Linked DNA regions of Sus scrofa. The protein of the gene in region 1 binds, or shares a complex with, the protein of each later gene. Links are inferred from orthologs where the notes say so. Each region holds a gene or a part of one and is shown in the gene's direction. Other genes may lie near its edges. The genes, in order: cytochrome c oxidase assembly factor 1 homolog, NDUFAF1, ECSIT, SMIM20, ACAD9, CMC1 and surfeit locus protein 1.

Region 1 (4,222 bases):
CTATTTCTTGCGGAAGTTTTTATAGCATGCATAATATGTATCTATATCATACATAGTATATGTTTATAGTCAAATTTTCTTTTCTGATGGGAATGTGATCAAGAGTTTGAAGACCATTGCTTTAGACTGCCCTTAATTAGTCTGGTTATGGAACACATCAAATCTAGGTGACTCACCTGAGACTCACTGCTTTGTGGAGGAAAGGTACTTGGGTGGTAGACTGGAACCTGGGACCCTTTACCAGAGTGCTTGCACCTGAACAAATAACTCTTCCAAGACCAGGAAGAAAACTATAAGGGACTAAAAATAATTGCATGCATGTGGCAGTTGGGGGCAATTATGAACCAAAAGATATAAAGAGGCCAAAGCCCAACTACTGGTTCAGGGGTGCCAGGACCAAAAGCAGTGGACTGCACATGATCCCTGCACAAAGTACCACCAAAGAAGTGGGCAGACCATTTCAGCTATGCCTCCTGCTCAATTCATGGACGGGGCCTCTCTTGTTAACTCATTTAAGGACTCAAACAGCGAGCAAGGGCACCTGTTTCTTATTTTCCTTATAGTCTTGCTTGGAATTTTTGGCCTCTTAGCAATTTCTGTTGATTAGAGTCTAGGGACTCAGGCGGGTAACACTGGGACTTCACGCTTAACGTTAAAAAAGTAATCATGCATAGCAGTGAGGACAATGGAATGGTCAAGATGAAAATAAGGTAACTGGCCTTTATTGAACACTTTAACAAAATGCCAGACTATTCTGAGTGGTTTATATTGTGATAAGAGGAGTTCCCGTTGGGGCTCAGTGGTAATGAACCCGACTAGTATCCATGAGGATGTGGGTTCCATCCTTGGCCTGGCTTAGTGGGTTATGGATCTGGCATTGCCTTGAGCTGTGGTGTCGGCCACAGAGGAGGCTTGGATCCGGCCTTGCTGTGGCTGTGGTGTAGACCGGCAGCTGCAGCTCCAGTTCCACCCCTAGCCTGGGGATGTCCATGTGTGTGGGCCTAAAAAGCAAAAAACAAAAACTATATATCCATCCTTATGAGAAATCTATTAAGTAAATTATTATTATCGTACTACTAAAATCCGAGAGCAAAGACCACTACATTTTTTTCTTAGCACTGCATTCCCTGGAGCACAGTAAGCAGTTCATAAATATTTGGTGAATTAAAAAAAATTTTTTTGCCAAATTTCTCCGCCAAATGGGGCAAGATGGACTTGAGGGCTAGAATGGGGCTCAGATGGCCCGTGGTTCTGCATCCTTGGATGTGAACCCAAGCGCCGATCCCTGCGAGGAGCAACGTGAACCAGAGGTTTAAATTTCCTCGGCAGCCACTGCGGGACTGAATGTGTGTTGAGGGCTCATGGCGCGCAGAAAACAAAAAGCGGGGATCTGAGGAGACAAGTCCCCTCCCGGCGCGGGTCCACCTGCAGAGACGCCAGGCACCAACCTGCACCTCGCTCGCCCGGGTCCGGGGTCCGCCAGCGGCGGGCTCGTCCCGACGCTCTAGCCCACGGGGAGGCGACGCCGGAAGTCTCGACTGCTCTCCGCGGGGCGGGGCCGCCCGCCGGCCTCCGCGCTCCCCCCGCCCCGCGGCTCCCACCGGACGTCCGGGAGGAGCCCTCCCGCTCTCCGCGGCGGCGTGGTAAGCCGGGAGGCTGGCACTGCCCGCGGAGGGAGTCGGGTCTCGGCCGCCCCAGGAGTGGGTGTTCCTGCAGCGCCGGGGGCCGCGACCGCGTCCCGGGTGGGCTGTGGCCAGGGGAGTCCCCTCCGGGGTCACCTCCGGGTTGTCACCGGCCTCGACCTCCCTCCGTTGCAAGGTTGGCACCTGCGGGGCCCTGGTGGGCTCAGCTCCTCGCGACGCTGTAAGGTGCCCCCTCCTGTGTGTCTCACCGTGGTCTTGCCCTGGGGTTTCGTTGAGCGTTCCCGGGAGCACATTTGTAAAGAAGTGGACCTGGGCCCTTTGTCCGTGGCCCCAGTTTGCAGCAGCCAGAGGAGGACCCTGCCTAGATGGCTGTAGAAAAGAGCTGTTTGGCTCAGTGGTCATAATACCTTTTGGCCCCGTCACGTTTGAGCCCCACACGGGGGCTGACCATAGAAGTGAGTTTCAGTGTAAGTGAGTTTCAGGTGTGTGTGTATGTATGTGTGTGTGAGAGAGAGGAATTTTAAAATTCACAAAGATTCTTATATTTTGAAATTTCCTTTTTTTTTTTTTTCCGTCTTCCCCTAATTCCTCCTCATTCTCACCTGAGTACTGCTCCGCTTCCCTTTTATTAAAAATAGCAACTCTTTACTTAGACTTTATACATTTAAAACACAGATCTGTGTTCATCCTCTGCTTAAAGTCTTACTGGCCTCCCCATTGATTGAGGATAATAGAAATTCCTTAGGCTGGCTTCAAGACCCTGCAGGGCCTTGCTTCTGATGAATTTTTCGGTCTTATCTCCTTTCACCAAACACACAAACACCCTGTATACCACCCCCGCCGCATGCCAACCTGCAGTCATTTCGTCTCTTTGGATATGACAGTTTTATAATGATTTACCCACATTTGGAAATTTATTTTTCTATTCAGTCAGAATTTATTGAACCCTGATATTGCCAGGCACTGTTTTAGGAGCTGAGGATATAATGGGAAAAAAAAACAAAAGCACACCCCAATCCAGTCTTTTTTTTTTTTTTTTTGCTTTTTCTTTTTTTGCTTTTTAGGGCCGAAAGTGTGGCATATGAAAGTTCCCAGACTAGGGGTTGAATCCAAGCTACAGCTGCCAGACTACGCCATAGCCACAGCAACACCATATCTGAGCTGCATCTGTGACTTGTACCACAGCTCCTGGCAATGCCAGATCCCGACCCACTGATCGAGGCCAAGGATCCAACCTGCATCCTCATGGATACTAGTCGGATTCATTTCTGCTGTGCCACAATGAGAACTCCCCAAGCTACAGTCTTTTTGGGGAAAAACAAAAAAACAAACCAGATTGAGATATAGGTCACATACCTAGAACTTTACAATATACTTTGGTTTTTCGTGCATTCACAAATTTGTACAAGCAATACCACGATCAATTTTGAAAAGTTTTTATCACCCCCAGAACAAGCCCTGTGCCCATTAGCAGTCTCATGATTTCCTCCTTACTCACTCCCACTCCTCCCCACTCTTAGCCCTAAGGGGCTACTGATCTACTGGGTGTATATATTTGCCTATTCTGAACATTTCATACAATGAAATTGTAAACTATGTGGTCTTTCTTGATTGTCTTTTTTCACTTTTAACAATCATGTTCATCCATGTTATAGCATGTATCAGCACTTCATTCCTTTTTTATTGCTAGGTAATATTTCATTGTATGGATATACCACCATTTATCCATTGGTCAGTTATGGACATTTGGGTTGTTCTGGCTGTTATGAATAACGCTGCTGTGAACATTTATGTGTACAAGTTTTTGTGTCATCATCATGATTTAATTTCTCTTGGTATATAGCTAAGGGAATTGCTGGGTCTCATGGTAACTCTGTGTTTAACATTTTAAGGAACTTCCAAACTGGTTTTTAAAGGAGCTGCACTGTTTTATGTTCCTGTCAGCAGTGTATGAATCTTCTCTGACTTTTTCAGGTCCTTGCCAATACTTGTCATTATCTGTTCTTTGGTTTTGTGTTTTCAGTTCTAGCCGTCCTGGTGGGTAGGAATTGGTATCTTGTTGCAATTTTGATTTGCATTTTCCTGGTGGTTAACGATGTTGAGCATCTTTTCATGTGCTGCTGGCCATTTCTGTGTCTTCTTTGGAGAAATGTCTGTTCATATCATTTGTCCATTTAAAAATTAGGCTGCTTGCTTTTTATCACTGAGTCGTAAGATTTCCATATATACTCTAGATACAAGTCCCTTATATATATGACAGTCTTGTGGAGTGGTTCCTTTAGATAGAAAGCACATGAGATTAATTACCACTCTTCTGGAGACATGTTAGAGGTCAGTGGGTAATTCAGAGTGAGTTGAACTAAGCTGCTGTGTGTGCAAGACCAGGCCCAGCAAAGTGTGAAGAACCTGTGAGCAGCATTTTAAGATTTGGAATGAAGCAGGGGGAAGAGTTTATATAATTTGTTAATTCTTGATTGAGTGTTGTCTTTGCCTTGTTGATCTGTAGGAGTTCTTCCTATAGAGGTATTAACCCTTTGTTAGATTTGGGGTGAATATTTGCAGTCTATCTGCCTGTTAAA
Region 2 (4,001 bases), on another chromosome or scaffold:
ACTAGAAAAGAGGAAGGCACAGGCTGGGCTTAGGAGACAAACCCACATTTAAGGTTGTGGGAGTACAGAGTAAAGTAAGCAGCTAGAAAAAGCTCAAGGACAAGTTCCCATAGTGGTTTTGATCCCTGGTCTTACTCAGTGGTTTAAGGATGAAATGAATCCGATTAGGAACCATGAGGTTGTGGGTTCGATTCCTGGCCTCGCTCAGTGGGTTAAGGATCCCACTTTGCCGTGGCTCGGATCTGGCATTGCTGTGCCTCTGGCATAGGCTGGCAGGAACAGCTCCAATTTGACCCCTAGCCTGGGAACCTCCATATGCCGTGGGTGACAAAAAGACCAAAAAAAAAAAAAAAAAAAAAAAAAGTTCAAGGAGGTTGCAGAGCCAGGCAAGTGTAGTAGAATCCGGAGAAGTCAAAGAAAAATTTGAAGACAGAAAAGGTGTAGAGTGGAAAAGAGTGACAGAGGAAACTTGGAAAAGGCAATTGTATTTGGTGAGGACTTGGAAGGTACTCTGGAGAACGGTGTTAACAGCCAATGGTTACAATTCATTCGAATTCATGCTGAGGGCTTAATTCCTGCCAGCGTTATGTTAGGTGCTGGGGACAGGAAGAAGAGTACTTTCTGGACCCAAGAAGCTCACAGCATGGCGGAGGAAGTGAGAAGTGAATGAATAATTAAGATACAAGTGTTGAAAGTGCTTAAACAGAGGGGTGCGCAAGATACAATCGAAACCCTGGGGAGTGGGCGACCCCACGGGGCAGGATTGGGGAAGGGCAGGTAGGAGAGTTGGTGTTCAAGTTTCAGGTGGGTCTCCCAAGATTCTTTGGGGGTTAATTCCAGGAGAAGTAGCTCTCTGTGGCCGTGGACTGCTCTTGGGCTGCTCTGTGGCCGTGGACTGCTCTTGGGCTGCTGCTCTTGGGGGCCAAGGTTATTAGCAATATCTGGGTCCTACTTGAAAGATACAGGATGAAGTTTGCAGCATGAAGGCGGAAAGCAGGAAGGGGAGGCGAAAATTTTCTCTAAATTCTCCCCACTTTCTGACATAGGGCAGAAAAGATCAGGAAGGGCAGGAGGAGCGGGTCCTTTGGGAAGCTAGTCGACCATAACCCTCATTTCGCTAAGCTTCGGGATCTTTATTACTCTTCCCCCGACCTGCGTACCTGACCGGAACTCTAGTGTCATAAGGCCCAGTTTCCCTGCGGACTGGAAAAGCAGATGGACCTACACAGGAAAAGTGGAGTAGCCGGCGGGGAAAAGCCAGGAGCACAGCGGAGGTTCACTCTGGGGTGTCGCGAGGGAGGGCTGCAGCGTCGGGACTTGCGAGGGCGACACAGCCCTAGCAGGTGAGAAATGAAGGGGCCGTGACAATGTCCAGACCGCTCCCGGTCTTGGATCAGGAGCTAAACGCCGGGGCTCTTGGGGATAGGTTTGCCGCTTAGTAGTTGTATACCTCGGGTGATTTAGTCTTAGAGCCTCCATTTTCATCTTTGCAATTGGAATAGTAGCCCCTCTTTTGGTTGTTGTGAGGAGTTAAAGTACACCTAGAATAGTTTCTGACACGTGGTAAGCGCTGGACATACAGTCTTCAGTAAGATTGCTTGCTTTTAGCTTCATGGTTTATGCTGCCATGAAAACTCACCAGCTTCAGCCCAGGATCATCCAGTTAGTGATTTTGACTATGTTTATTGGTAAAAATATGAAACAAAATATTCATAACTAACGTTATATTATTAGAGAAGTAATAACACTACTGAGGGGTTGGAAAATAGGGTGAATAATGGTACTCATAATTCCATCACCCTGCACATGGCTGTAAGCCTTTTTTTAACCCCCAAATCTTTTTTGTTTGTACATTTACATTTTTATACTTATATCGTTACCGTATATGCTTTTTTTTTTTTCTTCCCCTTTTTCTTTTTTAGGGCTGCACCCGCAGCGAATGGAAGTTCCCAGGCTAGGGGTGGAACCCGAGCTACAGCTGCTGGCCTATGCAACAGCCATAGCAACACTAGATACTAGCCGAGTCTGTGACCTACACCACAGCTCACAGCAATGCTGGATCCTTAACCCACTGAGTGAGGCCAGGGATGGAACCTGAATCCTCATGTATCCTAGTAGGGTTTGTTAACTTCTGAGCCACCGAAGGGAACTCCAGTATACATGCATTTTTAATTCCTCATTATTTGTCACTCAGTAGTGTAGCCTAAGCATGGTGTTCATGAGAATCTTTTTTTTTTTGGTGTTTTTTTCTGCACCTGAAGCATGTAGCAGTTCCTGGGCTAGGAATGGAACCAAGCCACAGCAGACTGCAGTGACAACGGCCAGATCCTTAAGCTGCTGTGACATGGAGGAACTCTGAGAATCATTTTTTGATTGTACAAATTCCATTTTATCACTTATTTCCCAAATTTTTGTGTGTGGAGAGAGAAAATCATTTGAACAAGTCAGTAAGGGAAATTTAAGTATTACCTATGATTCCAAGACCTGAGGTCAACTCTTGTTATTTTTCCTGGTTCCCTGCAATTTTTGGTCCATTTGAAAACATACTGTTCACACATTTTCATTTGTTTATTTATTTTTGGGCCGCGGGTGCAGCATATGAAAGTTCCCAGGCTGGGGTGGAATCTGAGTTGCAGCTGCTGGCCTACACTACGCCCATAGCAATGCCAGATTCAAGCTGCGTCTGCAGCCTACACTACAGCTCTCAGCAACGCCAGATCCTTTCCCCATTAAACAAGGCCAGGCATTGAACCTGAGTCTTCATGGGTACTAGTTGGGTACCACTGAGCCACGATGAGAACACCCACATTTTCCTTTTATTTTAGCAAACATTGAGCATCAATTATGTTCAAGCCATAGTCAGTAAGCTTAAGGTCAGGTTAGTTAGGTAGACAGATAAAAGCAAGATCCTAATAGTATGTAAGGGCTGTGAGATGTATGCACAGTTTCTCATGAGAATATCAAGGAAGATCAATGTCAGTGTCCTCCAGTTAGAGGCCACTAGGAACATGCCTATAGTTGAACAAGTTGGGTTTACTATTCCTGTAGTTGTTACTGACCAAACTTGGGTCTGTTTGCCCCAGTGTAGTAAAGCCAATCTACTGACACTGGGTCGTGGTGAAGGCAAGTGCAGCATTTATTGCAGGCACCAAGAGTCCAGTACAGCCAGTGCTTAAAAGTTCAGAACTCCTAGAAGGCTTTCAGGGGAAGGTTTTAACTCCTGGAAGGCTTTCAGGGTATGTGATCAGCTGTGGACATTCTTCTGATTGGTTGGTAGCGAGGTAATCTGGAGTCAACATCATTAACCTGTCGCCAACCTATCTGGGGTCTACCTGCTTGTAGGCAGATAACTTCTACATGGTAGGGGTTTCGGTATCTGCAAAAACAGCTCAGAGGGCATGGCTCATAATATTATCTATAACCCTTGAGGAGGAACTAAAGGTCTTTGACTTTGTGTGGTTTTTTTTTTTTTTTTTTTTTTTGCTTCTTTAGGGCTGTGCCTGAAGCATATGGAAGTTCCCTGGCTAGGGGTCAGATTGGAACTGCAGCTGCCAGCCTATGCACTGGCCACAGCAACGTGGGATCCAAGCCATGTCTGTGACTTTGTTTAATGGCTAAATTATTATTATTTTGTCTTGCTCAACTCCCTTTTTTCCTGCATTTTCTTACTTCCCTGATTAAATTTACTCTTTGGAATTCAGGGGAGGCCCAGGAAGGTACAGTTTTTCTACAGACAAGAGGCAGGTGGAGTTCCCATCCTGGCTCAGTGGTTAACAAATCCAACTAGGAACCATGAGGTTGCGGGTTCAGTCCCTGGCCTCACATAGTGGGTTAAGGATCTGGTGTTGCCATGAGCTGTGGTGTAGGTTGCAGACATGGCTTGGATCCTGCGTTGCTGTGGCTCTGGCGTAGGCTGGTGGCAACAGCTCCAATTTGACCCCTAGCCTGGGAACCTGTATGTGCCACAGATACAGCCCTAAAAAGACAAAAAAAAAAAAAAA
Region 3 (3,200 bases), on another chromosome or scaffold:
GGAGTTCTTATCATGGCTCAGCAGTAACAAACCCGACTAGTATCCATGAGGATGTGGGTTTGATCCCTGGCCTCATTCAGTGGGTCAAGGATTCGGCATTGCTGTGAGTCCTGGTGTAGGTCGCAGATGCATCTTGGATCTGGTGTTGCTGTGGCTGTGGTGTAGGCCAGCAGCTGCAACTCCAGTTCAACCCCTGGCCTGGGAACTTCCATATGCCACAGGTGCAGCCCTTAAAAAAAAAAAAAAAAAAGAAAAAGAAAAAGATATATTGTTGGAGTTCCTGTTGTAGCTCACAAGAAGTAAATCAAATGCATCATAGACCTGAATGTAAAATACAAGACCAGGAGTTCCCTGTTGTGGCTCAGCGGTAATGGACACAACTAGTATCCATGAGGACTTGGGTTCGACGCCTGGCCTCACTCAGTGAGTTTAGGATCCAGCGTTGCCATGACCTGTGGTGTAGGTCACAGAGCAGCCTGGGTCCTTCATTGTTGTGGCTGTGGTGTAGGCTGGCAGCTACAGCTTTGATTGACCTCTAGCCGGGGAACTTCCATATGACACATGTTTGGCCCTATAAAACAAAAAAAAAGATGTACTATTGATTCATTAATGTTGAACTCACACCAACAGCACTATAACTTGTGCCTGAGGTTACCTACCATATGTATTTTCTCTGTAGGGAACAGCAAGGCCCTTCTTGCACATAGGAACATTAGGGAGGCTTGGGGGCCTCTTTCAACAGCAAAACCACCAAAACAAAAAGACACAGAAAATGTGCACTAAATCAACCTCTAAAAGGACACTTGGAGTTCCCTGGTGGTCTAGTGGTTAAGGATCCAGTGTTGTCACTGCTGTGGCTCGGGTCACTGCTGTGATGTGGGTTCAGTCCCTGGGCTGGGAACTTATGCATGCTGTAGGTATGGCAAAAAAAAATAAATAAAATAAAAAACATAAAAGGACATTTCTTGACAGCATGGAAGCCAAAACAAGGAGGCTGAGCATTGCCTTGTTCAATCTAAGCTGGGAATGTAGGCTTTAGGCAACTTGAATTTTCTACCCCACTGTATGCATCTGCAAATAGCTGGAAAGCACCAAGACTTTTGGCTTTGGGATTATAGGTGAATTTAGCAAGTAGGCAGATTTGCAAATATGAAATAAATTTTGTCATCTTTTTCTTACACAAATGGGAACGTGCCGTACACAGTTTCGCAAAACCTTGCTTCTTTTAATGATACAGGTTAGAACTCACTCCAGGTCACACAAGACCTCCTCCTTGTGCCTACAGCAGTAGGTGCTCTTTGTCCTGATTCACTGCCATTTGCTAAATTATTTCCCTGCTAATACACATTTGGGCATTTCCACTGACCCAGTGGGAAGCACAAAAGTCATTTTGCGCAGGTGCATTTAGAGATGTCTGGGTTTTTTTTGTTTTGTTTTGTTTTTTTTCTTTTTGTCTTTTTGCCATTTCTTGGGCCGCTCCTGCAGCATATGGAGGTTCCCAGGCTAGGGGACTAATCGGAGCTGTAGCTGCCAGCCTACGCCAGAGCCACAGCAATGCAGGATCCAAGCCGCATCTGCAACCTACACCACAGCTCATGGCAACACCAGATCCTTAACCCACTGAGCAAGGCCAGGGATTGAACCCGCAACCTCATGGTTCCTCGTCGGATTCGTTAACCACTGAGCCAGGACGAGAACTCCCTAGAGATGTCTGATTTAAATACCAGGTGCAGGATTGCTGTGTCAGAGGGTGTTTGTTTGTCTTCATGGTGAATATTGCCAAATTGCCTCCAATGGAGTTTTACCATTACTGCTCACACTTTGTAGTGGGGCCTTATCTTGGCTCTGTAACCATAGCACCACACTTCCTTGGTGGCCCTTGGGGCTGCCCACTGGCACCTTTCCCAGCAAAAAAACCAGCCCAGCAGCGTCCCAGGGGCACTGGGAGGCACCAGATTCCAGCAGTGCCTCTCTGTCTGTAGGTGCCACTCCAGGCAGCACACGGCCTTCACTGCAGCACAGCCATGCACACCTTTGACTCATCGCTGGTCCCGCACCCACCCAAGCCCCCGAGGAGGCCCATCAAGGCCCTGGCACTCCACGAGGAGCTGTTTAGGAAGGCACCGGATGGGACACGGGAGAAGGCGAGCTTTGTGCAGGCCATACAGGACTTTGCGCAGTACAACGTGCACAAGCGGGGCCATGTCGACTTCATCTACCTGGCCCTGCGCAAGATGCGGGAGTATGGCGTCGAGCGGGACCTGGCTGTCTATAACCTGCTGCTTGACATCTTCCCCAAGGAGGTCTTCCGGCCTCGCAGCATCTTCCAGACCATCTTCTACCACTACCCACGGCAGCAGGAGTGCGGGATCGCTGTCCTGGAGCAGATGGAGAACCACGGTCAGGCCAATAGGCCAGCTCAGGCAGCTGGGGGTGGGGGGCTGCCTCCCTCTCCAAGGTCTCGGGCCCTCCATGGCTTTTTGGCACTAACTCCTCTCCTCCTCATCTCTCAGTCTGTCTGGCTTCCTCCCCTGCCCACCCCACCCCGATCCCTTGCTCATCCTCAGCTCCCATCTTCCCTTCTTTCTTCTGCCCCGTCCCTGAGGCTCTGCCTGCATCTGCCTGTCACAGGGGTGATGCCCAACAAGGAAACAGAGTTCCTGCTGATTCAGATATTTGGACGCAAAAGCTACCCCATGCTCAAGTATGTGCGCATGAAGCTGTGGTTCACCCGCTTCAGAAACATCAACCCCTTCCCTCTGCCCCGGGACCTTCCTCAGGACCCCGTGGACCTGGCCAGGTTGGCCTTGCGGCACATGGAGCCCGACCTCAGCGCTAGGGTCACCGTCTACCAGGTATCCACTCCTGTCCACACCCTTGGCCACCTCCCTGTAGTGGAGGCCCCCTTCGGTAACCCCAAGTGATTGTGGTGAGACAGGGGGAAGTTCCCTGGCTGAGCCTCTGCTAGATTCCAGGGCCCTCAGAACAGCCTGACCTCTGACGTCTGCTCCTGCCCCTCTCCCCACACTCACTGTATTCTGGCCCTGGCCTACCTTTCTGTGCCTTAAGCGATCTGTCAGTTCCCTCCTCAGGCGTTTGTGTTCACTGTTCCCTCTGCCAGGAACACCCTTCCCCAGGGACTTCACCTCCTCAAGTCTGAGCTATTCTTTCCCTCCCTGTCCTCCACAGAGCCAAACACT
Region 4 (4,139 bases), on another chromosome or scaffold:
CCTCCTCTGAACTTCTGCAGCCCCCAAGACTCCATCACTCATCAGCAACAGGCTGTGTCGGGTCATTAGCTGTCTTTTTATGTATATGTCCTGTCCCTCCATCCACATGACAGGATCCTGGAGAGCAAGGGTCATGTCTTATTCATCTTTGTGTCCCCCGTGGCACTTTGCCTGATGTTTGGGGCACAGCGGACAGTCCATAAATCTGCTGACAGATTGAATACCTGATTTATATGCTTCTGGAACCACAGAGGTACATAGTAGCTTGACTCAACTACAAAACTACAAAGAAAAGAGGAAACCTGTGACCTCCACACCATTTCCGAAAGATCGTAAATCTTTTCTGCACTAAATAATGATGCTGGGGTCAAGATTTGTTCCCCAGCCCCCAGCTGCTGGTATCATTCTTATTTAAAAACGATTGAGTGAAAGCCCAGGGAATCTTAGTCTCAGCTGTCCAGTACCGCTGGGTGGGTCATATACTGACACAGCCCCCCCCCAGAAACATGAAGGATGGCAATCACAGGAAGAGGAAGCAGATCTGTCCTCAGTGGCTTCCACCCCAGGCAACAAGGCAGAGCCCCAAGGTCCCATTAGTAGAACTGGCTGCTGGCTCCCTGCCCTGCACGGATCTCTATTCCCCATCCTCATTCGTAATCCTGACATCCAACAAAGGGAAGAGGGAGAGAGGAGAGCATGGAAGATCAGAGTCAGAAAAGATTTACTTGTAGTTTGGATGTTGCAATAATATTCCTCCCAAGCTAGCCTTGGTTCAGAAGCCCCTGCTGGCCATCCAGGGTCAGGCGATTTGCATTTGTCTCTAATCCCCTCAAACCGCCCTTAAGGCCAAGCAACTTGTTTAAATCATGCAGCCAAGACAGGATTTCCTCATCTGTAAAAGATATGTGGATTAAATCAATGAGCCCTAGAGAGCATCCACCTCTTGGTGGAGTCATGAAAATCAAACCAGTGGTGGAAGAAGGAAGTTTGGTTGGTAAAGGAGGGAGTGGTAACGAGGTCAGAAGAGTGTGGGTGGAGCGGCTGAGAGGTGAACCCGGTTTAGGGCAGGGGGCGGAACTGAGATCAAGAGCAATAAAAGCTCCACTCTCCATTCTCCCAGCTGGCGCTCGCCCTCCGGAGCCAGGCAGCCAGGCGCTGCCAGGCACCGCCCGGAGGCGGTGCGTGGGGTTACACGCCTCGCCCCTTCCTCCCCTAGTCCCACCCCCGCCCCAGCCCCACCCCCTGCCCTAGCCCCACCCAGTCCTAAGCCCCGCCTTCGGTGCCACCCTTGACCCAACCTCTTCCCGCCCCTGTTCCGCCTCCTAGCCCCGCCCACAAGGCCCGGAAGCAAAAGCCGTTTCTCCACTTCCCAGCCGGGTCACGACCCAGCGGGCAGGAGCCAGGATTGCGAGAGCTCGGTGTCCTCAGCGGGTCAGCGAAGGCCCGGTTCAGAGCCATGTCCACGAATCTGCGCACCGCGCTCATTTTTGGTGGCTTCATCACCCTGATCGGCGCCGCCTTCTACCCCATCTACTTCCGGCCCCTAATGCGGCTGGAGGAGTACCGTGAGTGACCTCTGACCACCACGCGGTGCCCTGGTCCCAGTGACTCCCTCTCTTTCCCCATCCTCTCCACGTGGGGCCTTGGGCAGAGCTTGGCTCGCGAGTCAGGGAGACCTGGGTTCGAATCCTTTGTGTGCAGCTTTGTGACCGTGGACAAGTGACTCCACCTCTTGGGCCCTCACTATCTTCATCAGTAGTTATGTGTTTCTGTAGTATCTTAAAATAAAACCGTCTAGCCTCTGCTGAGACTCAAAGGCAGTCTGCACGTCGTAGGTCAACACTAAATACGAGTTAATATTCATAGCTAACATTCACTGCAGGCTTCTATGTCTCGTTAATGCACATAGGATCTTTTAATTTACACCTTTTTTTGAGGTACATGTTGCTGTCTTACAGACGGGGAAACTGAGACTCAGGTTGTGTAACATGCCCAAAGTCACACAGCTGTTAGCGGCAAGACACGTATTCCAACCCAGGCCTCTGTCTCCAGAATTTCTTCCTTGTACTGAAGCTGGGAAGGTGATATTGGGGGAGGGAGGTGGGCCCTAATTGTCCTGAACTTGCAGATGTGTTTATTGCACTTCATTTCCGCTCCCAAAGATGTCTTTGATCAGAAATGTCTCAGAGCTAAACTGTTAACCTGAGGTTTTGGGTTTTTCCTCTTCTTTCTCCTCAAATCTTCCTTCAGATTCTGCTATCTTCCTTCATTTTAAGCTGGTTACTCACATGACAATGGTGAATATCCTGGGAGTAATTTTCTTCCTTAATCATTCCAGTCCTATCATTCTAAAAGCCACACTCCCCTTCCTTGAGACCTATACCTCAGCAAGGATTAGCACTTTGATACATCTGAAACCATCTGTCAGAGAGAAAATATTAGGCATTAGAGGCTCATTTTGTTCTCCAGGAAACCTGAATCATCTAGAAGATGGAAAAGGGCCAACCTTGCCCCTTGAGAATATCAGTGGAGGCTGTGAGCTTGGTGATTTGAAGGCAAAAGTGCTGTATAAATGCTCTGACCATTACAAATGCTACAACATCTGGTTTCTGAGGCAGAGCGGTTTAAGTACACACTCAAATTTCTTGTAGCTTCTTTTCATCAGTCAAGATTGAAATGGCCTCTGCACCCTGCCTTCCAGCCTATCTATCTACGTGACCACGCGTGACCACGCGTGACCACGCGTGACCACGCGTGACCACGCGTGGGGGTAAACATGGGACCTTGGAAGCCCTGCGTTATCTCTCTGTTTTATCCCTTCTTACTTGGTCCTTGCCCCGGGCTATTGTATTATAGCCCCTAGAGTTGAAGCTGGGACAAGGGAATCTACTTTGGATCCTACTTGAAAAGTTTCAGTTCTGAAGACTAGAGCCGTACCTCTCAACTGGGGATGATTTTTGTCCCCCAGGGGACATTTAGTTCTATCGGGAGACGTTTTTGCTGGTCACAAAATGGGTGGGGTGGGTGGAGTAAGTGTGCTCCTGGCATCTAGTGTATAGAGGCCAGGGTGCTGCTAAACTCTCTGTAATGCACAGGGCAGCCCCCACCCCTTAACAAAGAATTACCCAGCCCAAGATGCGAGTGGTGCCAGTGGTGCTGGGTTGAGAAACCCTTGCTCTAGGGCAGATGATCAAGGTGGGTTTGTGCTGTGTCTCCCAATGACAGTCTTAAAGGAATAGTCCAGGGAGTTCCCATTGTGGCTCAGCTGTTTAAGAACCTAATATCCATGAGAATGAGGGTTTGATCCCTAGCCTTGCTCAGTGGATTAAGGATCCAGCATTGCCACAAGATACAGCATAGGTCGCAGGTGCAGCTCAGATCTGGCACTTGCTGTGGCTGTGCTGTAGGCTGGCAGCTGCAGCTCCAGTTCGACCCCAGCCTGAGAATTTCCATATCTGGCAGGTGCAGCCCTAAAAAAAAAAAGGCGGGATGGGGAGTAGTCCAGAGTCTATGGTTGCCTGAGTCACCTTGAGATAGACAAATGAGGCCTTTAAAGTGAACATTTAGTGCATGTGGCTCCAGTATCTGCATTTTTAACTGTAAGGCATTCTACAGCTGCCTGCTTTTCTGGTTCAATTTTAATTGATTTGAACAACTCTTATCTGAGAGTCATAACTGATTCCTTAAAAAAGTAAATAATACTAAATAGCTAATATTTATTGAAAGCTCTCTTGCAAGCACTTGATATATATTAACCCATTTGGTTTTCATAACAACCCTTTGTGGTAGCTGCTGTGTGACTAGCTCCCTGTTTTATTTTTTAATTCTATTCTATTCTACTCTACTCTAAACTATTTTATTTTTTGTCTTTTCTTTCTTTTTTTAATTTTTTTTGGTCTTTTGTCCTTTTAGGGCCGCGCCCGCAGCATATGGAGGTTCCCAGGCTAGGGGTCTGATCAGAGCTATAACTGCCGGCCTACACCGGTGCCATAGCAACGCAGGATCCGAGCCGTGTCTGCGACCTACACCACAGCTCACAGCAACGCTGGATCCTTAACCCACTGAGCGAGGCCAGGGATCGAACCCACAACCTCCTGGTTCCTAGTCGGATTCGTTAACCACTGCGCCACGATGGGAAC
Region 5 (3,500 bases), on another chromosome or scaffold:
AAGGTACACAAAAATGCACTTTCCAAGAGATAAGATTATGGGTAATTTTTGTTTTCTTTGTGCTTTTCTGTATTATGATTTTTTAAAATGGTGAGCTGGCTTTATTCAGTAGAGCCATTTGCCTTTTCTGGGAGGAATTTGGGGCTAGAGCCTAAGTGCACTGGCCTGTCTCTTCTCTAGGTGGCCTGGGCCTCTCCAGCACCATGTATGCGCGGTTGTGCGAGATCATCAGCCTGGACAGCTCCATCGCTGTGACCCTGGCGGCACACCAGGCCATCGGCCTCAAGGTCAGGGGTTTGGGTTTCCAGAGTCTCTAGTTGGCGGCGGGGCAGCAGACTTGCTCAGTTTGACCAAGGATCGGGGAGGCCCGAGGTCCTGCAGCCTCGCCTGGCAGTGTCCAAGTGCAGCCTTGCTGTCTGGAGCTCAGTGCCCTTCGGTGACGTGGTCCTTCCGTTGAAACCTTCTGTCCCCATCACCTCTGACCCATCCTTCAAGGCCCAGGTCAGATGCCACTGGAGCCTGCCTTCACCGTGGGCTGGGAGTGACCCCACCCAGCTCTGGATTTGCTCACGGGGGTCTGAGCTCGTGCCCCTGCTATTGTGCCTGTTCCCCTCACCGTTCTTGGCTTGGAGCATTTCAGGGAGGTCCAGGGGTCCACCGCTCATTCCTCTGATTGTTTTTGCTCAACATAGTAACCAGGGTGGGGAGGAGCTGAGTGTGCAGCAGGCTCGGCCTCACACTCGGTGCAGCTGCTCCTCTCGACGCTGCCTGAGCACCAGGTGTGGCTCCAGCACCCCTGGCCCCCAGCCACGCAGCTGGGAAGTGGAAGAGCTGCTGGGAAAGCCTGAGTCTGTGCCGAAGCTGTGCTGGTGCTGCTACCCTGGACTGTGCCCTTGGGGCTCCCTGCTAGCGTAGCTCCCCAGACTTGCCAGCAGCTCCCCATTTTCCCCCCAAGGGCAGGGGTTGCCACCTCTTAGCTGTCAACTCTTGCATGGAGGAAGCATGTTCCAGAAGGGGCCGTGTTTCACATGCTCCTTTCTCCCCACCACTGAAAGCAGCCTGTGTGTTTTGTCAGGGCATCATCATGACTGGCAGCGAGGAGCAGAAGGCCAAGTACCTGCCCAAACTGGCGTCTGGGGAGCACATGGCCGCCTTCTGCCTGACGGAACCAGCCAGGTGAGCCCAGGCGGCAGGGGCAGAGGGCGGGGGCCATCCATGGCTTTGGTTGAGCAGCTGGTGGCCGGGGTCTTCCCTCCCTGAAGGCTTCCTGGAGTCGAGTCAGCAGCCTTTCTTGCAGGGTCTCTTCATGGTCTGTTTCTCTACCTTACTTCTCCAACCCGTGACCTTCACCCACAAGATAATGGGCCTGACAGTCCCTGTTCAGTGGCTTTCCTGTACTTTGCAGCATCCCTTCCCTACAGTAATGCATTTAGGCCTCTATGAAGGGCGTTGGTATCGTCCCCACTTCACAGCTGCAAATGAGACTTAGGGACATGGTGTGATCCGCCCACAATCTCACAGCTGCCCTGGAACTCAGGGCTTCCAACAGCAGGGCTATTACCTGGCCCCTCCACCCTGCGTCCCCCACCCCAGAAGCTGGGCCCCGGGCACCCACCCTCATAGGAGCGCCGAGCCTGTTTGAGCCCCATCTCTGGGGTTAACCTCCCCAGTGTCACCACTGCTGCCGACCTCACAAAGCCTTCTTGCCATATGCTGTAAATCAAGTTTTACTGGAATGTGCCTCTTGTTTACAGATTGTCTGTGGCTATAAAGCTGAATATATTTATTATCTGGCCCTTTTTTTTAAAAGTTTGCCAGCTCCTTCCATTTGGGGCTGGAAACCATCCTTCTCGGTTCCCAGCATTACCCCTCAACCATGGGTTTCTGCCCCGTAGTGGGAGTGATGCCGCCTCCATCCGGACCAGGGCCACACTGAGCGAAGATAAGAAACACTATGTCCTCAATGGCTCCAAGGTACAGCTCCACAGCCTCCAAGACTGCATCAGGGTCGCCGTCATGACCGTTTCCACTGTGCACAGGGTCCCTTAACTGTCACCCTTGTGGGGTGCTGCTCCTTTTTAGGGGAAGGAACTGGCTGAGAGGTCTTGTCACCACCATCACCCTGTCTCCTTAGTGGTGGGATGGGAACCAAGCCATCTTGGCTCCAGAGTCTGTGTGCCTCAGTGCTGCCACCCACCCCAGAGCTGCTCTTGTGTGTCTGTTTTAAAATTTCTTATTACATGGATTTTTTAAACAATTTTTTCCCATTATAATTGGTTTACAGTGTTCTGTCAATTTTCTGCTGTACAGCAAAGTGACCTAGTCTCACACACAACATACACATACATTCCTTTTCTCACATTATCCTCTATCATGCTCCATCACAAGTAACTAGATATAGTTCCCAGTGCTATATAGCAGGATTGCATTGCTTATCCATTCTAAAGGCAATAGTTTGCATCTGTTAACCCTGATTCCCAGTCCACCCCACTCCTCCTCCCCCTTGGCAACCACAAGTCTGTTCTCTAAAGTCTCTAGGTTTCTTTCCTGTGGAAAGGTTCATTTGTGCTATATTTTAGATTCCAGGTATAAGTGATATCGTATGGTATGTGTCTTTCTCTTTCTGACTTCACTTAGTATGAGTCTCTGGTTCCATCCATATTGCTGCAAGTGGTATTATTTTGTTCTTTTTTATGGCTGAGTAGTATTCCATTGTGTATATGTACCATACCTTCTTAATCCATTCATCTGTCAATGGACATTTAGGTTGTTTCCATGTCTTGGCTATTGTGAATAGTGCTGCAGTGAACATAGGGGTTCATGCATCTTTTTCAAGGAAAGTTTTGTCTGGATATATGCCCAAGAGTGAGATTGCTGGGTCATATGGTAATTATATATTTAGTTTCCTGAGGAACCTCCATTCTGTTTTCCATAGTGGTTGCACCATTTTACATTCCCACCAGCAGTGTAGGAGGGTTCCCTCTACCCGACATCCTCTCCAGCAGTTGTTATTTGTTGACTTGTTATGATGGGCATTCTGACAGGTGTGAGGTGGTACACATTGCTTCTTAGGGCCACCCCTGTGGCATATGGAAGTTCCCAGGGTAGGGGTCATATTGGAGCTGCAGCTGGCGGCCTATGCCACAGCCACAGCAATGCCAGATCTGAGCCACGTCTGCGACCTATACCACACAGCAACGCTGGATCCTTGACCCACTGACTGAGGCCAGGGATCAAACCCACATCCTCCTGAATACTAGTTGTGTTCTTTACCCTTAAGCCACGGTGGGAACTCTGATTGTTTTTCTTTGTTTTGTTTTGTTTTTTGTTTTCGTTCACTTTTTTTTGGAATTTGAAACATGTAAAAGTTCAGTCCTGAACTTCCATCCCCTGTCTCCTGGCACAGTGTGTCCTCTGTTACATCGCCACCTCTGCATGGCATCGTGATGGGTCACAGTGGCCCCATCTCTGCAACTACTGTACATTTAAAAAATGATTCT
Region 6 (4,214 bases), on another chromosome or scaffold:
GTCATTCATGGCAACACTGTGGAGGCAGTCCTGAAACAGTGTTAGATAATATTGCATTTATTTCTCACAACAACCTCATGAATTAGAAATGAAAGTCCAGAGAAACATTGAAGCTTATCCAAGTTAGAAAGCTAATAGGTCATGAAGCAAGATTTAAGTGGAGGTGCCTAGGTCTCTGCAAGTTTCTGCATTTCCCATGTTGCCCTTTTGATGAGGAAGATTGAGTTTAATTACTTGTGTGTGTATGACGTGTTCTTATACCTCACCTCATCACCTCAAAAAGATTTACTTTCTAGATTAAATCTTTTGCCTCCAGAATGAATCTGGTGTGTTTCTAAACACATTTATAAAACATACAGGGAACAGGACCTGATTTCCTGCCTGGCTGAGTGAAACATTAATTCCATCTTGGCGCCTCATCCTACAGCTGTAATAAGGGCCGTTATGCCCAAATAGGCCCTTAAACGGAAGACCTGCTGAGCAGAGACCCACTTTCCCAGCCCTGCTCCGCAGCGTCAGCTTCTCTGCCAACTGACCAGGAGGAAGCAGCAGCAGGGGAGGAGGGCCTGCAGGTAGGTGGGGACGGGATCACTTTGAAAGCCTCAAAGCCCTAACTGCGAAGCAGCAGCTGCTCCTTGTTTTTCTAACATCTGTCCCATCTGTGCCCTTGCGCACCTGACCCTCCAGAGGCTCGGGCTAGCTCAACGTGGATGTGACAAGGGAGCATTTCTGGAGGCTGGCTGGTGAGTGGATATGAGCTTACTTACTACCCAGAAAGTTTCTTCTACTGGGAAGAGGGCAGTTGGGGCTCTTGAGGAGGATGTCTATCGCTTCCTTCATTTTGCTCGCATATACAGCTTTGATGGACCGAGTGGGGATTTGCAGCATCACCCAAATGGGACTACACGTCATGAAGATGTTATTTCACCAGACAGAGGTATCCTAGCGCTCACTTTCTAAGTGTAACCTCCAGGGAAGGCGCAGGCTTCGATCCGGAGAGAAGTAAGGATGCAGCACTCAGTACACGGGTGCTTGCTGCACAAGTCGTCAGGGCGTATTGCTTATTTCTGGGTCCCTCACCAACACTGTGCGTCTGGAGACTTAGGGACCTTACTTTTACCCAGTTATTTCCTCCTTGTATTCAGAACCGTGGCTGGAACCTAGCAGGCATGAAATACATACTTATGAATGAATGAACTTTAAAGAGGAAAAATGAAGGAGCCGGCAGGTTCGTTCGGTTCGGAGGCAGGCTTGGAGGGAGGGGCTTAAACTTGTACGGAGCCACCCAGAGAAGCGCGAGTCCTCAGGCCCCGAGCGCGCCTGCGCCTTCCAAGACGGCCACGCCCCCTCCCAGGGCTATCGCTCGGTGAAGTCCGCCCACTCTGGTTACCGGGTTGTGGGTGGTGTCAGGACGGTGCAGGCGCAATGAGCGGCGGAAGTAGTTACTGGGAAGTAAGCAAGCGGCAGTTTCCCTTGGCGTAAGGCTCCTCCTCCCGCCGCGGGTTGCTTCACTGCACGTGTGCCCGGGCTCCGCCCCACACTGCCAGTGCTTTGGCCGCTTGGGCGCCTCCTCCCGCGCAGAGATGGCGCACGACCCCGCAGGTACGGGGTGGGAGGCGGGGGTTGCCGAGCCGCGGCTGGCGTGTGGCGGGCTGGGGGCGGGGGTCGAGCTGGGGGAGGCGCGGCGCCCCGGCGGCCCCGCCCCGCCGCGCCCGGGCGCCTGGCTCCGCGGCCCTAGGGCTATGGTTCGGGGAGCGGCGCTGTTTGGCGTCGATCCTCTTTTCCGATTGTAGCTTGCAGATAGTTTTCTTCTGGACACCTGTCCTCTTTTCGCCCATTTCAAGTATCTGTAGTCCAACCTAACATCATTGATCGGAGCGAGTGCCAGCTTGTTTGGAAAACGCCCCCCAAGCCCCGCTCTTTGTGAGTTTGACTTTCGTGCGTACCCCTAGGGCAGTTTGTATCCGTGTTGTCTGCCCCTCGGCATCTCAGTTTAGAGGGTACCCAGAGCTGCGTGTCTAGAGGGAATGGTGATTAGCTTTAGATCATTCCCTTCACTCTGGATGTGAAAAGTCCAGCCAGTGGGAGGAGGAATGACCTCAAACATTTGGAGACTCAGAAATGACAATCACTTTAGTGAGCTCAAGGAGAAGGAGATAATCGTGTAGCTGACGAGGCTCGTGGCTGATTGCTGGTGCGGCAGAGTCTGCATAGAACTCAGTCCATTTCAGTGCATTTCCCGTCTGGGTGGTAGACCATGCCGCCTTTACGTCCTTATGGATGAAACAGATACTTGTTGCGTGCACACGGTATGTCCTTCCTGTTCTAGGCCCTAGGAGTCTGGTATATAGGGCAAAGGATCCCTGCTCTATCTAGAGCTTGTATTCTAGTTGTAGAAGAAAGAAGACCACCCACAGTACTTTTATAGATTGTGATAAACATTATGAAGAAAATAAGCAGTGACATAGGTAGATGGTCAAGAAATGGTTAAGAAAGGACGACTTAAGGTGGAATGGTCAGTGAAGAACTCTAGGAGGAAGTGTCAAGTGAATTGGAATCTGAAGGACTATGGGAAGCAGTCCTGTAGAGGTAATGGAAAAGCATACAGCTGGGCCGAGGTGCAAATGCTTAAACGATGTGATTGAATCATTTCTATCAGAGTGGAGGAGATCCATAAGGAGAGATGTTGGGAACGTACACAGAACCTAGATGCTGCACGGCCTGAAGGCCGTATTGGAAAGCATTAGGATTTTTCCTGATGTTATCAAAGGCCTCTGGAGGCTTTTAAAGAAGGTGGTGCCGTAATATGATTTATACCTTTCCAACCCCCTCAGCAGTTGGTAGCATTGTGGAGCGGGTTTGAGCAGAAGATTAGGAGTGGTAGCAGTAGCCCAAACAAACCCATTGGTATATAGGTCTGGGTTGTTATTAGGAAAAAAAATGGAAAGAAATATGAAGCATCAGGAGATGTTTTGGAGGAGAAATTAACAGGACTTACTGTTGGTTGAATAAGGGTGGTGAGGGAGAGAAGCCTGAAGGGTAATTCCTAGGCTAGTTACTTCAGGTGGGTGGCCTGTGATGGTCAAATCTAACATGATGATCACTGGAAACTTCAATAAAAGCAGGGATGGAAACAAGATTGAAATGGAAAGTAAGAAAGTAGAGTCCGCCAGTAGGAAGATTCAAAAAAATTTTTTGTGTGTTTTAAATTCCAGAATACAAATGTATTGATATCAGCTGCTTTTTTTTTTTTAACTTTGTTTTCGTTTGGTTCATGCTTTGATATTTCTTTTGCTTTTCACAGTCCACAGTGGTATATGCCCATACCAAGTAGAAGTATTTCCAAGTAGATGAATAGATAGTTAGGCCAAATGAAGTTTGTGTAGTAAAATCTGTTTCTCATTGGTTTGTGTTAGATTTTTAAAAATATTTGTACAGGAGTTCCTGTCATGGCGCAGTGGTAAACAAATCTGACTGGGAACCATGAGGTTGTGGGTTCGATCCCTGCCCTTGCTCAGTGGGTTAAGGATCCTGCGTTGCCGTGAGCTGTGGTGTAGGTCCCAGACGCGGCTTGGATCCCGCGTTGCTGTGGCTCTGATGTAGGCTGGCAACTACAGCTCCGATTCGACCCCTAGCCTGGGAACATCCATATGCCGCGGGAGCGGCCCAAGAAATGACAAAAAGACAAAAAAAAAAAAAAAATTTGTACAAGTTTGGTCTTCATTTGGCAGCAGCTTTTAACTAGCTTTGTAGGGTCTATTTTTCTTAAGAAACTTTGCATTACTTTTGTATGTAGTTGTATTGAAATAATTTTCTGTTTTGTTAATGTAGAAGTAATAACAGCGCTCCTTGTAAGCTTATCAGCCATAATTTTATCACTATTTTACCTGACAATTTGAATGTAGAGAGAAAGAGCTGGAGAGTCCAACAAAACACACAGGAAAAGTGTCTGAAGAGAGAGATAAATTATGAAAAAGAAAAAAATGAGGGAGTTCCCATTGTGGCTCAGTGGTAACATACCCAACTAGTATTCATGAGGACACAGGTTTGATCCCTGCCCTTGCTCAGTGGGTTAAGGATCAGGTGTTGCCGTGAGCTGTGGTAGGTTGCTGTGGTTGTAGGCCAGCAGCTGTAGCTCCAACTTGACCTTTAGCCTGAAAACCTCCATATACCGAAGGTGCAGCCCCAAGAAGCAAAAGAAAAGAAAATGCTAG
Region 7 (4,119 bases), on another chromosome or scaffold:
CGGGTGTGCCTCAGCACATGCTCTGGGGCCTTGTTGATGTGCCGCAGGGTGAGTTTGCAGAACAGCTGGTGCCTGAGGGGACATTTCACAAGCGAGGTTCCAGACCAGTGGCTGTCTACTGTGGCTGCTCTTAGAATCACCCCGGAGAGTCTGAGCGGGGGAGGTCTACCATGTGGCTTGGGCACTGGGAGTCTTTTTTTTTTGGCTGCACCCACGGCATGGCGAAATTCCTGACCTAGGGATTGCAGCCATGCCACAGCAGTGACAATGCCAGAGCCTTAACCGTGAGGCCACCAGGGAACTTTGGGACTCTTATAGAGCTTCCAAGCACTTGTACTCTGAACTGGGGGGGAACCCCTCCCCCAGACAGTGGCCTCTCAATAGGCGGAGCCAGCCTCTCCAGACTGCTCCAGCATGAGAGAGGTGCGCTGGTGATAGCCTGGGAAGGTGTGCGACAGTGGGAGCATCTGCCAGCGCCCTCTTCATTAAGACTAGTATTGTCCACCGGGTGCTCTCAGCTAAATCAAAGTTCTTTTCAACTAAAGATAAAATGCCAGCGTTCGAACCTCAGGTGACAAAGCACAAGCGCTCCAACCCTCTATGAAGCAAAGAGGCCCAGGAGACAAACCTCATCTTTACAAAAAAGCAAACATGCACGGGGACCGGGCCTCGCCTGAGGTCCCAGGTGACGCCCAGCTCCAGGATTCCCACCTGGATCTCGGGGGCCCTAACTCAAGGGAGGGTGGGCGCCGCGGAACTGGTGGCGTCTTAGAGGAGCGCCCACCTAGCGGGGAGGGGTCGGGGCTGCGGAGTCTACCCGGCCCTAGCCAGACTCAGCACTAGGAACTGTCCCACCCCGGGCCTCCCGGGCAGGGCCCGCCCCGCCTCCGGCTCGTACGGGTTCTTGGTGCTGGGCACGATGTGCGGCTCGAACTCGGCGTAGTCGAAGGCCGGGGAGGCACGCACCAGCCGCCGGTACTTCTTGCCGCGGGTGTAGACTTGGAGCTCGGGCAGGCGGCAAGGCAGCTCATGACCCGTCAGAGCGCACCTCACCTGCCGGCGGGAGAGCGGGGCGGTCAGGGAGGCCGGGCAGCCGGGGTCCCGGGGGCGGTCTGGGGGTCCCGATCCCGCCGCCCACCTTGAGGGCGCCGGGCTCCAGCCGCAGACTCGGGTGCTCGCGCAGGAAGGCGACCACTTCGGCCGGCGGCTCGCTCATGGTCCCACGCGCGCGGACCCGCAGCTGAGCGCCGCTGGACCACGTGGGCCGGGGGCGGGGCCGGGCGGGCCCCGGAAGCAGACGCCTCCGGGCGCCGGAAGCGCGCGCGCGCGGGGCGATGGCGGCGCGGTGGCTGGGGCTGCGTGCGGCGGGGCTGGCGCAGGTGCTCCGCGCCGCGGGCGCGGGGCGGGTGAGCGGGGCGGGGAGCCCGGGCGGGGGGCGGCCCGGCTGGGGGGCGCGCCCGGACTGGACGAGCTCAGCCGGCCCCTCGCGTCTCCGCAGGCCCCGGCCCGCGCCGTCGGGAGGAGCGTCCTTGGGGTCATCTCGCGCCCAGGTGAGGAGTCGTTTGGCACCTGGGAAAGCTGCCCTGCACTTTGCCAGGGGTCATGGGGTCACGATGAACCCTGGAACTGCCTCCTGCGCCTCGGGGACAGGCCCTGGCCACGCGCCGGCCCGTCCCATGCGGCAGTCCGACGCCCTCGGCGGAAGACGTGCGGTAGTTGCCCAGACACCTCCTCGGACTAATGCGGGGCCAGCCCAAGGCTGAAACCGTCCGGGATCCTGAAGAAAAGCACAACCAGTCGCGACGGTTTGCACGTTGCCTCCCGGGTACAGCAAAGGGCAATCGTGTGTGTGTGTGTGTGGAGTGCGGTGCACATTTAAAGGTCGCAAGCCTGCTCCAGACCAGCTTGTTTAGCGGCCCCAAACCCATGATGCTTTCCGTTGACGGCACTCGCCCGCTGAGTGTCTAAAGGCACTTTCTGTGTACCTTTTTCGAGGTTTAAATGCTGAGAGCTCTGTAAACCACTGTCCTGAGTGTTTCACGCTCTCTTCAGAGCACTGTGGCTGGTGGACCTGTGTGGTCGGCGTGATAGGATGCATCTTAGCGGGTTCTTGTGCGAAAGGCACGGGTTGGTTATGTGAATCGGTCAGGGTCATGGTTGGTGGCAGAGCCAGGACTGAATGCTAGATCTCCTCGTCAGTGAACGTCCGCTGAGTGGGGGTCAAGGCCCGGGTACTGGGTAGGGGCAGGGCTGGGCTGCTGGTTGGCTCCTGACTGCACACGGTGGCCTGTGCCCTCCTCCCGGCCCATGTTCTCTTTGGCAATAGTGGCAGTTTTGAGAACTCGGAGCCTCCACTTCTTTGTCCCAGGCCTCTAGCCCCATGCCCATGTTGTGACATCTCCTAGGGCTGGCCTGGAGGCCCAGCAGGAGTGGCAGCTCTTCAGCTGAAGCGACTGCCGCAAAAGCGCACGATGATGCCTTTCTCCAGTGGTTTCTACTCCTCATTCCTGGGACTGCCTTTGGCCTGGGGACATGGCAGGTAAAGCCTGACCTCTGGCTCTCCTGGCCCTGAGCCCTTGACCCTGCTGCCACCCGCTCGAGCTAATGCTCTGTGTCTGTGTAGGTCCAGCGTCGGAAGTGGAAGCTAAAGCTGATCGCCGAACTGGAGTCCAGGATTATGGCTGAGCCCATCCCGCTGCCCGCAGAGTGAGTGTATGTGGCTGCCCACCAGGGCTGCGCTGGCCGGAGGTCACATGCCTTCCTGACCCTGATGGGAGCTCTCACATCAGTGGGCCTGCTAGGCTTCCTGTTGTCACTCGACTGCCCTTGTGACACTGCCTGACATACACAGGAAAATTTTTGAACCTGGGATTCACCTTTTTTTCCATGCCCTGTGCAGCAAGGGTCCCTCGAGGATGGCCTCTATAGCAGTCATTCTTAGCCAGCGCTAGGGTACACGTATCTCTTGACAGGAGAAGTACTTTGAAAAAGTGCCCAGTGAGTCTACAGCCCTGTCCCCTCATTTTAATTTTTTTAATTTTTATTTTTTGTCTTTCTGCCATTTCTAGGGCCACTCCCGCGGCACATGGAGGTTCCCAGGCTAGGGATCTAAGCGGATCTGTAGCTGCTGGCCTACACCAGAGCCTCAGCAACACGGGATCTGAGCCGCGTCTGCAAGCTACACCACAGCTCACGGCAATGCCAGATCCTTAACCCACTGAGCAAGGCCAGGGATCAAACCCACAACCTCATGGTTCTTAGATTCGTTAACCACTGAGCCACAACAGGAACTCCCCTGTCCCCTCATTTAAAAGCACCATCCAGAGTTCCTGTTGTGCCGCAGCAGCGAGTCCCACTAGTAACCATGAGGATGTGGGTTCCATCCCTGGCCTTGCTTGGTGGGTTAAGGATCCGGCATTGCCGCGAGGTGTAATTTAGGTCACAGGAGAGGCTTGGATCCCACGTGGCTGTGGCTCTGATATGACCCCTAGCCTGGGAACTTATATGTGCCACGGGTGCGGCCCTAAAAAACAAAAAATAAAAGCCCCATCCTAGAGGAACAGCTGTAATCAGAATGCTTTCCGCTCAAGACAGCAAACAGTGGGTCCCACTTGGCTTGCGGATGTGGCTTTGGCTCATGTGTTTTATCCCGTTCATGCGGGAGTCCATCTCTAAGCTTTTCCTGAACACTTGCTCCGTTGGGCAGCCCAGACCCACATTCCCATGTGGCATCAAAGGCCCCGGCTTCCTCCTTCAGAGGGCACCTCAGTCACCGTGGGCTTCATGGCAGATCCAAAGGGTTCGTCTTCCTGCCAAACCTTGCGCGGCCCCAGCTCCGTTTCTCCTCTCCCTGTAGCCCACTGGAACTGCGAAACCTGGAGTACAGGCCGGTGAAGGTCAGGGGGCACTTTGACCACTCCAAGGAGCTGTACCTGATGCCAAGGACCATGGTGGACCCGGCCCGGGAGGCCCGGGACGCCGGCCGGCTGTCGTCAACCGCCGAGAGTGGCGCCCACGTTGTCACTCCCTTCCACTGCACTGACCTGGGGTGAGTGGGGCTCAGGGGCCGACTGGCCTGTGAGGCGTTCATTTCCTTGGCTTTGCTTCTCAGCCCCCAAC

The links.
Region 2: cytochrome c oxidase assembly factor 1 homolog (region 1) and NDUFAF1 share a complex: the UniProt entries of both Homo sapiens proteins name them as parts of the mitochondrial complex. The link is inferred for Sus scrofa from reciprocal best matches to the Homo sapiens genes COA1 and NDUFAF1.
Region 3: cytochrome c oxidase assembly factor 1 homolog (region 1) and ECSIT share a complex: the UniProt entries of both Homo sapiens proteins name them as parts of the mitochondrial complex. The link is inferred for Sus scrofa from reciprocal best matches to the Homo sapiens genes COA1 and ECSIT.
Region 4: cytochrome c oxidase assembly factor 1 homolog (region 1) and SMIM20 share a complex: the UniProt entries of both Homo sapiens proteins name them as parts of the MITRAC (mitochondrial translation regulation assembly intermediate of cytochrome c oxidase complex) complex. The link is inferred for Sus scrofa from reciprocal best matches to the Homo sapiens genes COA1 and SMIM20.
Region 5: cytochrome c oxidase assembly factor 1 homolog (region 1) and ACAD9 share a complex: the UniProt entries of both Homo sapiens proteins name them as parts of the mitochondrial complex. The link is inferred for Sus scrofa from reciprocal best matches to the Homo sapiens genes COA1 and ACAD9.
Region 6: cytochrome c oxidase assembly factor 1 homolog (region 1) and CMC1 share a complex: the UniProt entries of both Homo sapiens proteins name them as parts of the MITRAC (mitochondrial translation regulation assembly intermediate of cytochrome c oxidase complex) complex. The link is inferred for Sus scrofa from reciprocal best matches to the Homo sapiens genes COA1 and CMC1.
Region 7: cytochrome c oxidase assembly factor 1 homolog (region 1) and surfeit locus protein 1 share a complex: the UniProt entries of both Homo sapiens proteins name them as parts of the MITRAC (mitochondrial translation regulation assembly intermediate of cytochrome c oxidase complex) complex. The link is inferred for Sus scrofa from reciprocal best matches to the Homo sapiens genes COA1 and SURF1.

Annotation. Positions count from the first base shown.
Region 1 is NC_010460.4:51,219,337-51,223,558, forward strand, and holds the start of cytochrome c oxidase assembly factor 1 homolog, read left to right. Parts: upstream 1-1,422; 5' UTR 1,423-1,643; intron 1,644-4,222. UniProt on the Homo sapiens protein: Component of the MITRAC (mitochondrial translation regulation assembly intermediate of cytochrome c oxidase complex) complex, that regulates cytochrome c oxidase assembly.
Region 2 is NC_010443.5:129,967,279-129,971,279, forward strand, and holds the start of NDUFAF1 (complex I intermediate-associated protein 30, mitochondrial), read left to right. Parts: upstream 1-1,201; 5' UTR 1,202-1,343; intron 1,344-4,001. UniProt on the Homo sapiens protein: As part of the MCIA complex, involved in the assembly of the mitochondrial complex I.
Region 3 is NC_010444.4:70,157,563-70,160,762, reverse strand, and holds part of ECSIT (evolutionarily conserved signaling intermediate in Toll pathway, mitochondrial), read left to right. Parts: intron 1-1,982; coding exon 1,983-2,400; intron 2,401-2,631; coding exon 2,632-2,855; intron 2,856-3,200.
Region 4 is NC_010450.4:19,699,703-19,703,841, forward strand, and holds the start of SMIM20 (small integral membrane protein 20), read left to right. Parts: upstream 1-1,339; 5' UTR 1,340-1,456; coding exon 1,457-1,565; intron 1,566-4,139.
Region 5 is NC_010455.5:71,405,937-71,409,436, forward strand, and holds part of ACAD9 (acyl-CoA dehydrogenase family member 9, mitochondrial), read left to right. Parts: intron 1-180; coding exon 181-287; intron 288-1,075; coding exon 1,076-1,176; intron 1,177-1,895; coding exon 1,896-1,974; intron 1,975-3,500. UniProt on the Homo sapiens protein: As part of the MCIA complex, primarily participates in the assembly of the mitochondrial complex I and therefore plays a role in oxidative phosphorylation.
Region 6 is NC_010455.5:14,680,844-14,685,057, forward strand, and holds the start of CMC1 (COX assembly mitochondrial protein homolog), read left to right. Parts: upstream 1-1,414; 5' UTR 1,415-1,583; coding exon 1,584-1,602; intron 1,603-1,735; exon of another isoform or gene 1,736-1,923; intron 1,924-4,214. UniProt on the Homo sapiens protein: Component of the MITRAC (mitochondrial translation regulation assembly intermediate of cytochrome c oxidase complex) complex, that regulates cytochrome c oxidase assembly.
Region 7 is NC_010443.5:272,967,687-272,971,805, reverse strand, and holds the start of surfeit locus protein 1, read left to right. Parts: upstream 1-1,319; 5' UTR 1,320-1,334; coding exon 1,335-1,406; intron 1,407-1,498; coding exon 1,499-1,550; exon of another isoform or gene 1,551-1,740; coding exon of another isoform or gene 1,741-1,825; intron 1,826-2,405; coding exon 2,406-2,539; intron 2,540-2,623; coding exon 2,624-2,706; intron 2,707-3,856; coding exon 3,857-4,048; intron 4,049-4,119. Other genes in the region: SURF2 (surfeit locus protein 2), read right to left, coding at 1-72, 899-1,053, 1,139-1,216. UniProt on the Homo sapiens protein: Component of the MITRAC (mitochondrial translation regulation assembly intermediate of cytochrome c oxidase complex) complex, that regulates cytochrome c oxidase assembly.